2 linked regions of the Drosophila melanogaster genome follow. The protein of the gene in region 1 interacts with the protein of each later gene in a pairwise test. Each region holds a gene or a part of one and is shown in the gene's direction. Other genes may lie near its edges.

Region 1 (4,436 bases):
GTCGGGTTGGCGTTTCTTCTTCTGTGATGTAAATGTTTCTATTTAGTCTATAATTTACAACAGAAGTTTTCAAAATCCTAAAAAATGTGCTACGTGAATAGATTTTGCCATTACTTTGCCAATCGCTACCCGAAGAACTTTGTGAGGATAGTGCATCCACTTTCGATAGTTTTCGTCCTGTGCAGCACAGCTTTCTTCTTCTCACTGCAGATGTTTTACATTGCGCCCAAAGTGTTTGGCGACATTGCTTACAAGCTCTACTGGATATTGGTCACCTTCATAACGCACAACATACTTGGTAACATGCTGGCCTGCTATATGACTAGCTCATCGGTAAACACCTTGTCCAAGGACTCCCGATGCCCGAATCCAGAGGATGAGCCCCTGTGGCACTATTGCGAATCGTGTAAAAAGCTGAGATCGCCACGATCCTGGCACTGCGTTTTGTGCAACACCTGCATTTTGAGACGGGACCACCACTGTATATTCACGGGCACTTGCATTGGACACAATAATCAACGCTTTTTCTTCTGGTTCACATTTTATTTAACGCTCGGCTTAGTCACAAGCTTTGCAACATTTTGTATGTTTATCCTGCAGAATGGCGGTAACTTCATGAGTCTCTCGTCTGTGATTTTTAATTTAATAACTAGGACTTTTTTCCAAAATTATACTGGCAATACTTTTGAGACCATTGCCTTCCTCTTGAATATAAGCGCCAGCTATATGCCTGCCTTTATGTTGGCATATCAAATGCAGATTTTAAGCCAAAACTCTACCTACTATAATATTTTTGATTGCACCTACGATCTGGGTTTCCGAAAGAACTGCCAGACAATAATGGGCCAACGAGGACTTTGGACTTTTATATCGCCCTTGCTGAAGAGTCCTTTGCCCCATGACGGTGCACATTGGCAGATGAAGCAGTCTCACTAAATTAATAGACGTATTACTAAATTATTGAAAAATATATATCGATTTTAACAAGCCAATCATAACTTATTTTCATCTAATGTCAAGTTGTGGAAAATACGGTGTTGTATTCAAAATCCTACAATCATGTGTATCGTAAATGATTGGTGCCGCGAATATGCCAATCTCTATCCTAAGAAGGCCGTGAGCATAGGACATCCTTTGTCAGTGATTTTTTTACTGGTGAGCACGGTTTTTTTCTTCACGCTGCAGGTCTTTTATGTGGCCCCCGATGTGCATGATGGTTTTATGTATAAGTTCTTTGTGATATCAGCGATTTTTACAACATACAATATCCTGGGAAACTTGCTGGCCTGCTACCGTACAAGCTCAGCAGTGAAAAGTCTGCCTCAGGAGCGGCAAATTCCGAAACCGGGAACGGAGCACCTGTGGCATTATTGCGATATCTGTCAGAAACTGATGCCTCCACGATCCTGGCACTGTGCACTGTGTAAATGCTGCATTTTGAAGCGAGACCACCACTGCATCTTCGCAGCCACTTGCATCGGACACAATAATCACCGATATTTCTTCTGGCTTACATTCTATTTGGCATTTGGGATTTTCATGAGCATGGCAACCCTATTTGTTGATGTGGGAAGGAGCTTTTATCTTTTGCACAGAATGAAGGCTGGTTTTGGAAACACAGTAAAATCTTTAAGTTACTTTCGGTACGTGTGCTTGATTCTCAATATATTTGCCCTCGGATTCCCTGCCCTCATGTTGAGATTTCAAGTGCAGATTCTAAAGTTAAACTCAACGTACTATCAAATTTCCAGTCGCCATCACGATTTGGGTTTCCGAAATAACTGCCAGCTTATTATGGGTCAGCGAGGACTCTGGACTTTTATATCTCCCTCGCTGAGAAGTCCTTTGCCGCATGATGGAACTCACTGGAAAATTAAGCAATGTTTTTAAAGAAAATTTTTACGTAATGCTTAACTCGTCAACATCAAATCAGAAAACACAAGCTTACACTCTGAATTATATATAATTTTAAAATCGGAAAATTATGTGTTTGATATGGGCCTGCACCAAGTACTTGGCGCGTCGAAATCCAAAGATATTCGTTCGAATCTCCCATCCGACCGCAGTACTATTCGTAATCGTGACAACGATCTTTTTTGTGGTCCTGCAAATGTTTTACGTGGTACCCCAATTGTTTGATGTTCAAGGATTCATGTACAAGCTCGGCTGGCTAGTGGCAATCTTTATAACATATAATATCTTTGGCAATATGCTTGCGTGTCATATCACAAGCACTTCGGTGGAGAGCCTGCCAAAGGATCGGCAAATTCCGGAGCCGGAAGAGGAGCACCAGTGGCATTACTGCGATGTTTGTGAAAAACTAATGCCTCCAAGATCCTGGCACTGTATATTGTGCAAGTGCTGCATTCTGAAGCGGGACCGCCACTGCATTTTCACTGCCAGTTGCGTCGGACACAATAATCAGAGATACTTTTTCTGGTTCACCCTCTTCATGGCTTTGGGAACTGGTGTGGCCTTGGCTACCCATATTATTGCCACCCTAAAGTATTTTAGCTATTCGGACCTGATATTCCTAAATATCCCTAGGGATAACTTACCTCCATTTTGGCTGGTCATCACTCTTATACTAAACACCTACGTATTTGCAGCCCCTGTATCTTCGGTGCTTATGCAATTATCTGTACTTAAAAATAATGGCACTTTGCATAAGTTTTACAGTGATACCTACGATCTGGGCTTGTGGGAGAATTTCAAGCTGATTTTGGGCGGAAAAGGCTTTTGGACTTTCCTCTCACCCACCGTTAAGAGTCCTCTGCCCCATGATGGTGCCCAGTGGAAGATCAAACGGTACGACATCAGCAAGTTTAAAAATTTTAACTATATTGAAACTGACATGATATACCACCTTTTGTATTTTAATCATAGTGTTCAGCATCATTCACCAAAATTACAGTTTCTCCGTGTATCCGATTGATGAAAATTTCTCATGTATTTGTACAGCTTCGGGGCATCATGCAATCACAAGTTCAAATGCAGACCATCAACATCCCAAGACGCGTGGGGGCCATCAAATCCTGGACAGATATCATGGGAGTATCCATAAATGTCTGCATAATCTTGTTTTTCTACTTCTTCGAAGCTTTCTACGTAATGCCACAGTTTTTGGGATTGTTTGGACAGGCGGTTCATTTTTTAGTCACCACTTGGATTGTCTACAATATTCTGGAAAACTTAAGGCTGTGCGTCACGACGTTGAACACTGTGGACTCTTTGCCGCCGCAAATGCAGCAGCCAATGAAAGGTGAAGAGCACCTGTGGCATTTTTGCAAAATATGCCAAAGGAATGTACCGCCAAGGTCCTGGCACTGCAACATCTGTGATGCGTGCATTCTGAAACGCGATCACCACTGCAATTTTGTGGGCAACTGCGTGGGACACAATAATCAGCGATATTTCATATGGTTCTCATTTTACGCGGCCATCGGTAGCGCAGTGGCCTTATTTGATAACTTCATGTTGGCCCATAAGCACGGTGTTGGATTTTTTGATTTAGTCAAAGCCAATTACATTATTTTTAATGCTTACATGAATCCTGGTAGAAAAGAATTAGTGATATTCTATCGAATAGTCAGTGTCTTAGGTGTCAACATATTCGCCGTTCTCTTTCCAGCAGCACTGTTTTGCACCCAAGTAGTGACGGTCATCAAAAACTCAGTAATGCACGATTATTCTGATCGAACCTATGACCTTGGATTAGGGAATAATTTGACCCTGATCCTGGGAAGTCGGCGATTATGGACTTGCCTATCGCCAAATATCAAAAGTCCCCTGCCCCACAATGGCACCCGATGGAAATCGAAGCGTGCCGTCTAGTCCAAATTTGATATCATCTATCTATTCTTGACCATTAAGATTATATTCTATTTCCGTTATGTTGTATTTGTCGCTAAATAAAGAATGTAATAGACTATAAATAACACGGACAATTTTCTTAGTTCAAAAATAAACGTGTAAAGGTGTACAGTGACTTTATATCTATGTATAAAAATTGAATGCAGACAAAACACAAAACAAAAACAATTCGCCTAGATAGAAGTCCTTAATTCAAGCCATAAACGCCCTACATTTGCATATCTCTCCGCCCACGAAAATTGCTGAGAAGTACATCCTGCCCAACGAAATCAACCTCAAATCTGTCCATGGCTTGTGACACCTTCTGCCGCAAGTCGAAAACACTTGTCAAGTGTCGAAAAAAGCTGAAATCCGTTTTGAAAAATGAAAGCGGCTAGAACAACAGCTCGGTCGGTATAGACAATTCATGGGAGTCCAGGGGGCTGGGAAATGGTAGAATTAATGACGGCGCATGCCAGTGACATGCCCCAAAACATGGAATCAAAGTCCATGAGTGGGCGTTTCCGTGTTTCGGTGCATGAAAAATGTTCGAGGTGCGAAATCTGCTGCGAGGTCTAAACAAC
Region 2 (4,366 bases), on another chromosome or scaffold:
TGGCAACGCATTTCGGAGGGGGCACTTCAAAGTTAATTATTAGGGGATGGCTATAGAGTTATAGTTGATTTATTGGGCTGTTATGGGGCCGGAGAAAATGCTTAGAAATGTGTTTTACCACCAACCAGTACAGCTAATTTTGCGACTCGGTGGGAAATTAGTTCCAGAGGCTCATAGAAGTTTAAGTAAAATAATTATTTCAATACTTAAATATGCTACCTTTAATGTCTTGGTATTTGCATTGACAACCGTTAAGAGGCAATCCCGAAACCATTTTCCAAAGATTATGTCATACCCTAGTCTGCGCCTCTTTGATTGCAAGGATAATCCCCCGTCAGCTTTCCCTGCTCATCCACAAAACCTCCAATTACACACACATCAATCCCATAAATGGACAACTATTGTATCTACTCGATCCTCAGTGCCAATCCCCGTTCCCGGTTCCATTCTCAAGATCCAAAAGCAAAGACCTAACCCTACCTGCTGCTATCGCCAAAAAGTGATCAACCCAAAGCCAGGTGATCATCGCGTCGCCCACAAAATTGCTGCCCGAAATAAGATATCTGCACGTAGCTGTAATTTAAAACTCCACCGAGCCAAAAGGAAAAAATAAGACAAAATTGAAGAAGAAGAAGAGAAGTCTCGGGCCCCTTTGGGCAACAACAACAGTCCCACAAACACATTATCCTACAGCAATAATTTCTCTTTCCCCGGCGAACAATGCAGCGGAACAAGAACTGAACTGTACACCTAGCGGAAAAATGTGCCGTGAAATTTGAGGAAGAAATTTCTAAGATACCCATAAAAGTTCGAATAATGACAAGAAAGATCGACAAAAAAACGAATAATTATTTAAACACCTTTAGTATTTGATGCTTATATCAAATTTTTAAATCAATTTTAAAGTCATACATTTGGGTATAGTCACTTATCATGTAAGTCCTTGCTCCTTTTTCGACATAATTAATATTTCAATTTTTTCAATATACAATACATTCTATAATTTCCTATTGACAAAATAATTTTCCCTATTTTTTTCGACTGCAAGGAAATGGAGATATGTCATTTGCCCGGCTGCAGAACGATCCGAAATCGAAGGAGCCGCCAGAGAAATGAAGATCGATGCCACAGGGTAGTCCCTCTATCCTCTCTCCTTCCCAATCCCTATTCCCATCCCAAATCCTCTCCCTTTTCCCTCTCTTCTGCTTGAGCAACATGTGCGCCGCTTTGTAACGCCAATTATGGTCCCATAATTCCTGGGCATTGTCAGTTTCTGTGGGAGCACAAAAGATGCGCTCCGGGAATCGGAATCGAAATGGGAATTACAAGATACAAGATCGTTTCACGGCGAGAGAACGTTCTCAGCGATGCGTATCCGAGCGGCAAATGAGCAAGAAGAGAGGAGTGATCGAGATCTTGGCCAGGTAGATTTGGATTTACACTCCGGACCGGATGGGATCGGATCGGATCGACTCGAGTCGGCTCGGTTCGGTTCTCTCTTGAGTGGAATGGAGTTAAACTCGTGGAGCTGCTCGGCTTGACCGCTCGACGATCGGCCGCTCAAATCAGTTTGTTTGTAGACTCAGACGTCGACGGACGTGTGCGTTCGTTTAAAGAAACCGGAGACTAAGAACGATCCACGAGATACAGATACCGATATCGCAGCAGTGAAAGTGTGCCGCAACGGATACAACAGCAGAGATATAGATACAAATAGAGATTACACCCGCCAGTCGACCGATATAAAAGTAAACCATGGAGGAATTGCCGCGCGCATTAAACTACGAACTCTCGCACGATTTGCATTTCGATCATTACGCCGGTGCCGCAGCTCAGAAGATTCTGAACAGCGGGAGAAGTTCTCCTGAAGCCTCCACCCCGACCATCACCACATTGGATGCCATCTCCAGCAGTGATTTCCTGAAACAGATTGGCCAGCAGATCCTCAGTTCCATCCAACTGAAACATCAGCATCAGCTCAACGAAGTCAGCCATCCGAGGAATTCCACCAGCGAGGAGATCATGGATTTCGATCTGGCCAATCGGGTGATTCTGGACAGCAGCAGTGTGGATCAGCTGCAGCAGCAGTTGGAGTACGATAAATTCATGAACGAGGTGTGGATCGGCATCGTCTTCACCCTGATCCTCATCTCGATGGTCTTCTGCATCTGCTCCTGCTTCCTGTACCATCAGTTCCGCACCTGGAAACGCAATTGTAAGTATTCCGCATTAGAAATGGGAAAATGTTCATATGGCATCCGTATATATTTGTTAATTGAGATTAAGATCTTATCGACTGCCTGTTTTGATTAGCCAGTACTGCCAAAAAAAAAAAAAAAAAAACACTCACACAATTCAAGCCACATAAACAAGTCGAAATTCCAGGCCATTATAAACGATTTTATTGCTGAAATTAGGTGACCTGACTTCAACCGTCATCAGGGAAATATACTCCATTAGAAGTGGAAATCTTTTCGTATTTTATTCCGTCTTAAGTGCTTCCACATCTCTAATGATTCACTTTGTTACGTCAATCTATTTTTTTTTTTTTTTGAGGTCGTAAAAGCGAAGTATTTCGTTAACTGTCGTCAGGTTCAAGAACAAACACCAATTTTCTGTAGTTCGTGATGCGGCCTAAAAAGTCACGAAACCTTGGAAAAAAATTAGCACATCGCCAACGAAATGGCAGAAAAGTGCGGCAAAAAATTTCAGAGAAATTCGTCTACCTCGAGTTTAATTCGAAAGCGGTGCCAAGGCAATTATGAAAAAGAATGCAGCGAAGAGAAAATATTTAAAAAGTTAATGGAAATGAAAGCCAGCAAATAGGGCAAAACAAATGCGGGCAGAAGCAATTGTAATATTGCAACTGGGTCGAGGTCTTCATTAATCTCGCCCAGTCAACTCCAATCCAACGAAGGCAAATACTAATAAACAATTATTGTTCTTTGTTTTGCAGATCGCAACAATGCAAATGGCTCGACGCAGTGCACCATTGTAGATATAGAGGCGTTGAAACTGCATCCGGATGTGGAGGATCCGGTTCCGGAATACACCCTAGTATCTGGATTGCCCAGCTACGAGGCGGCTCTGGAGCTGCTACAAAAATCCCCGCAGTCATCCTGCCTGATTGTCTATCCGAGTGTGTTCAATGTGTTCAATAAGCAGGAGAGGAGCAGCCAGGAGCTGCAGCATCCAGGAGTTGCAACATCAGCACCTCCAGCCGCACCCGAGAATCACCTGGCACCGCAGACACCTTCGTTTTGTGATGCCACAATGCCGCTGCTCCCAGCAACAACAGCAGCAGCAGCAACACATGCAGCAGCAACAGTAACAGCAGTAACAGCAGCAACAGCAACATCTGCAACATTGGCAGCTTCGCCCACGTGCGAGTCGATTAAGCCAAACTTTGTGATGATGCCAATTGTGCCCAGTTATGCGGAGGTATTCGGCAGCTCGTACAAAACCGTCGACGAGAAAAAGAAATCGAAGTCAAAAGACAGCCAGTCGAAAGACGATATCAAGCGGTAAAGGTAAAAGTGACGAGAATACGAATACGAATACCTAGCCAAGCAACTGAGCTCTGTGATATTTTCATGTTCATGCTGGAAAGACATACCCATATGTAATTAAACTAAGCGCTGTGATTATCAAAAAGACGTAACTAAACATACTACTCGCTACTAAATGTGTTAGCTGAATAGTTTCGCCACATTGTACTTAATGATATCGTATCCAGTACTTATGGAAACGCAAAGATGCATATTGTTACTAGACTTAAGTAGGCCACAAACTAATTATTAATAAATTATACACCTAACAATTTAAATTATCGTTGGTTTAATTATTACTCGAATAACAAGCTCTCTCTTAAAGCTAGAAGCACCGAATGGAGCTCTTCATCTGCCGCCAGCTTCTTTGATTATTATTTCGCCATCAATCAGTTGACATTCAAATTGATTCATTGATGCTGCAGCAACTGATTTGATTGACGCCAGGAACAGATGGCATACAAATCCTTTCGCCAGGCGGTGCCACTCCCCACTTCCACTGAGCTTTGTAAATAGCTTCCAGCTTCGGATGCCGGAGCACAACATCAACAATCCGGCAGATTGAGATAGTTGTCGTAGATAGATAGATAGATGGATAGATAGACAGATAGAGACAGTTCGATTTGACATTGAGCTAAGGACGTGATAGCTTATTCGACTGCCGGTGCTTGCAGTGCGCTCAATGCTTTTGTGCAATTGTAATTTCGCATTGATAAGCTAGTAAACCCATGTATAGGTATGCAAATCGCTGGCAGAGACAATAGACATAATAAATGATCTCAAACACTGTTTTCCTAGCATCGATGCTAAGTCGGTGG

The links. Proteins that work in one complex are often made in the same cells at the same time.
Region 2: the proteins of CG17198 (region 1) and comm2 interact in a two-hybrid assay, tested with the Drosophila melanogaster proteins (one large-scale study listed by BioGRID).

What each region holds. Positions count from the first base shown.
Region 1 is NT_033777.3:25,772,830-25,777,265, reverse strand, and holds CG17198 (uncharacterized protein), read left to right. Parts: upstream 1-1,896; 5' UTR 1,897-1,984; coding exon of another isoform or gene 1,985-2,808; intron 2,809-2,866; exon of another isoform or gene 2,867-2,886; coding exon of another isoform or gene 2,887-2,934; coding exon 2,935-3,834; 3' UTR 3,835-3,932; downstream 3,933-4,436. Other genes in the region: CG17195 (uncharacterized protein), read left to right, coding at 85-936; CG17196 (uncharacterized protein), read left to right, coding at 1,060-1,890; CG17197 (uncharacterized protein), read left to right, coding at 1,985-2,808, 2,887-2,935.
Region 2 is NT_037436.4:15,697,051-15,701,416, reverse strand, and holds comm2 (comm2), read left to right. Parts: upstream 1-1,566; 5' UTR 1,567-1,755; coding exon 1,756-2,215; intron 2,216-2,956; coding exon 2,957-3,528; 3' UTR 3,529-3,823; downstream 3,824-4,366.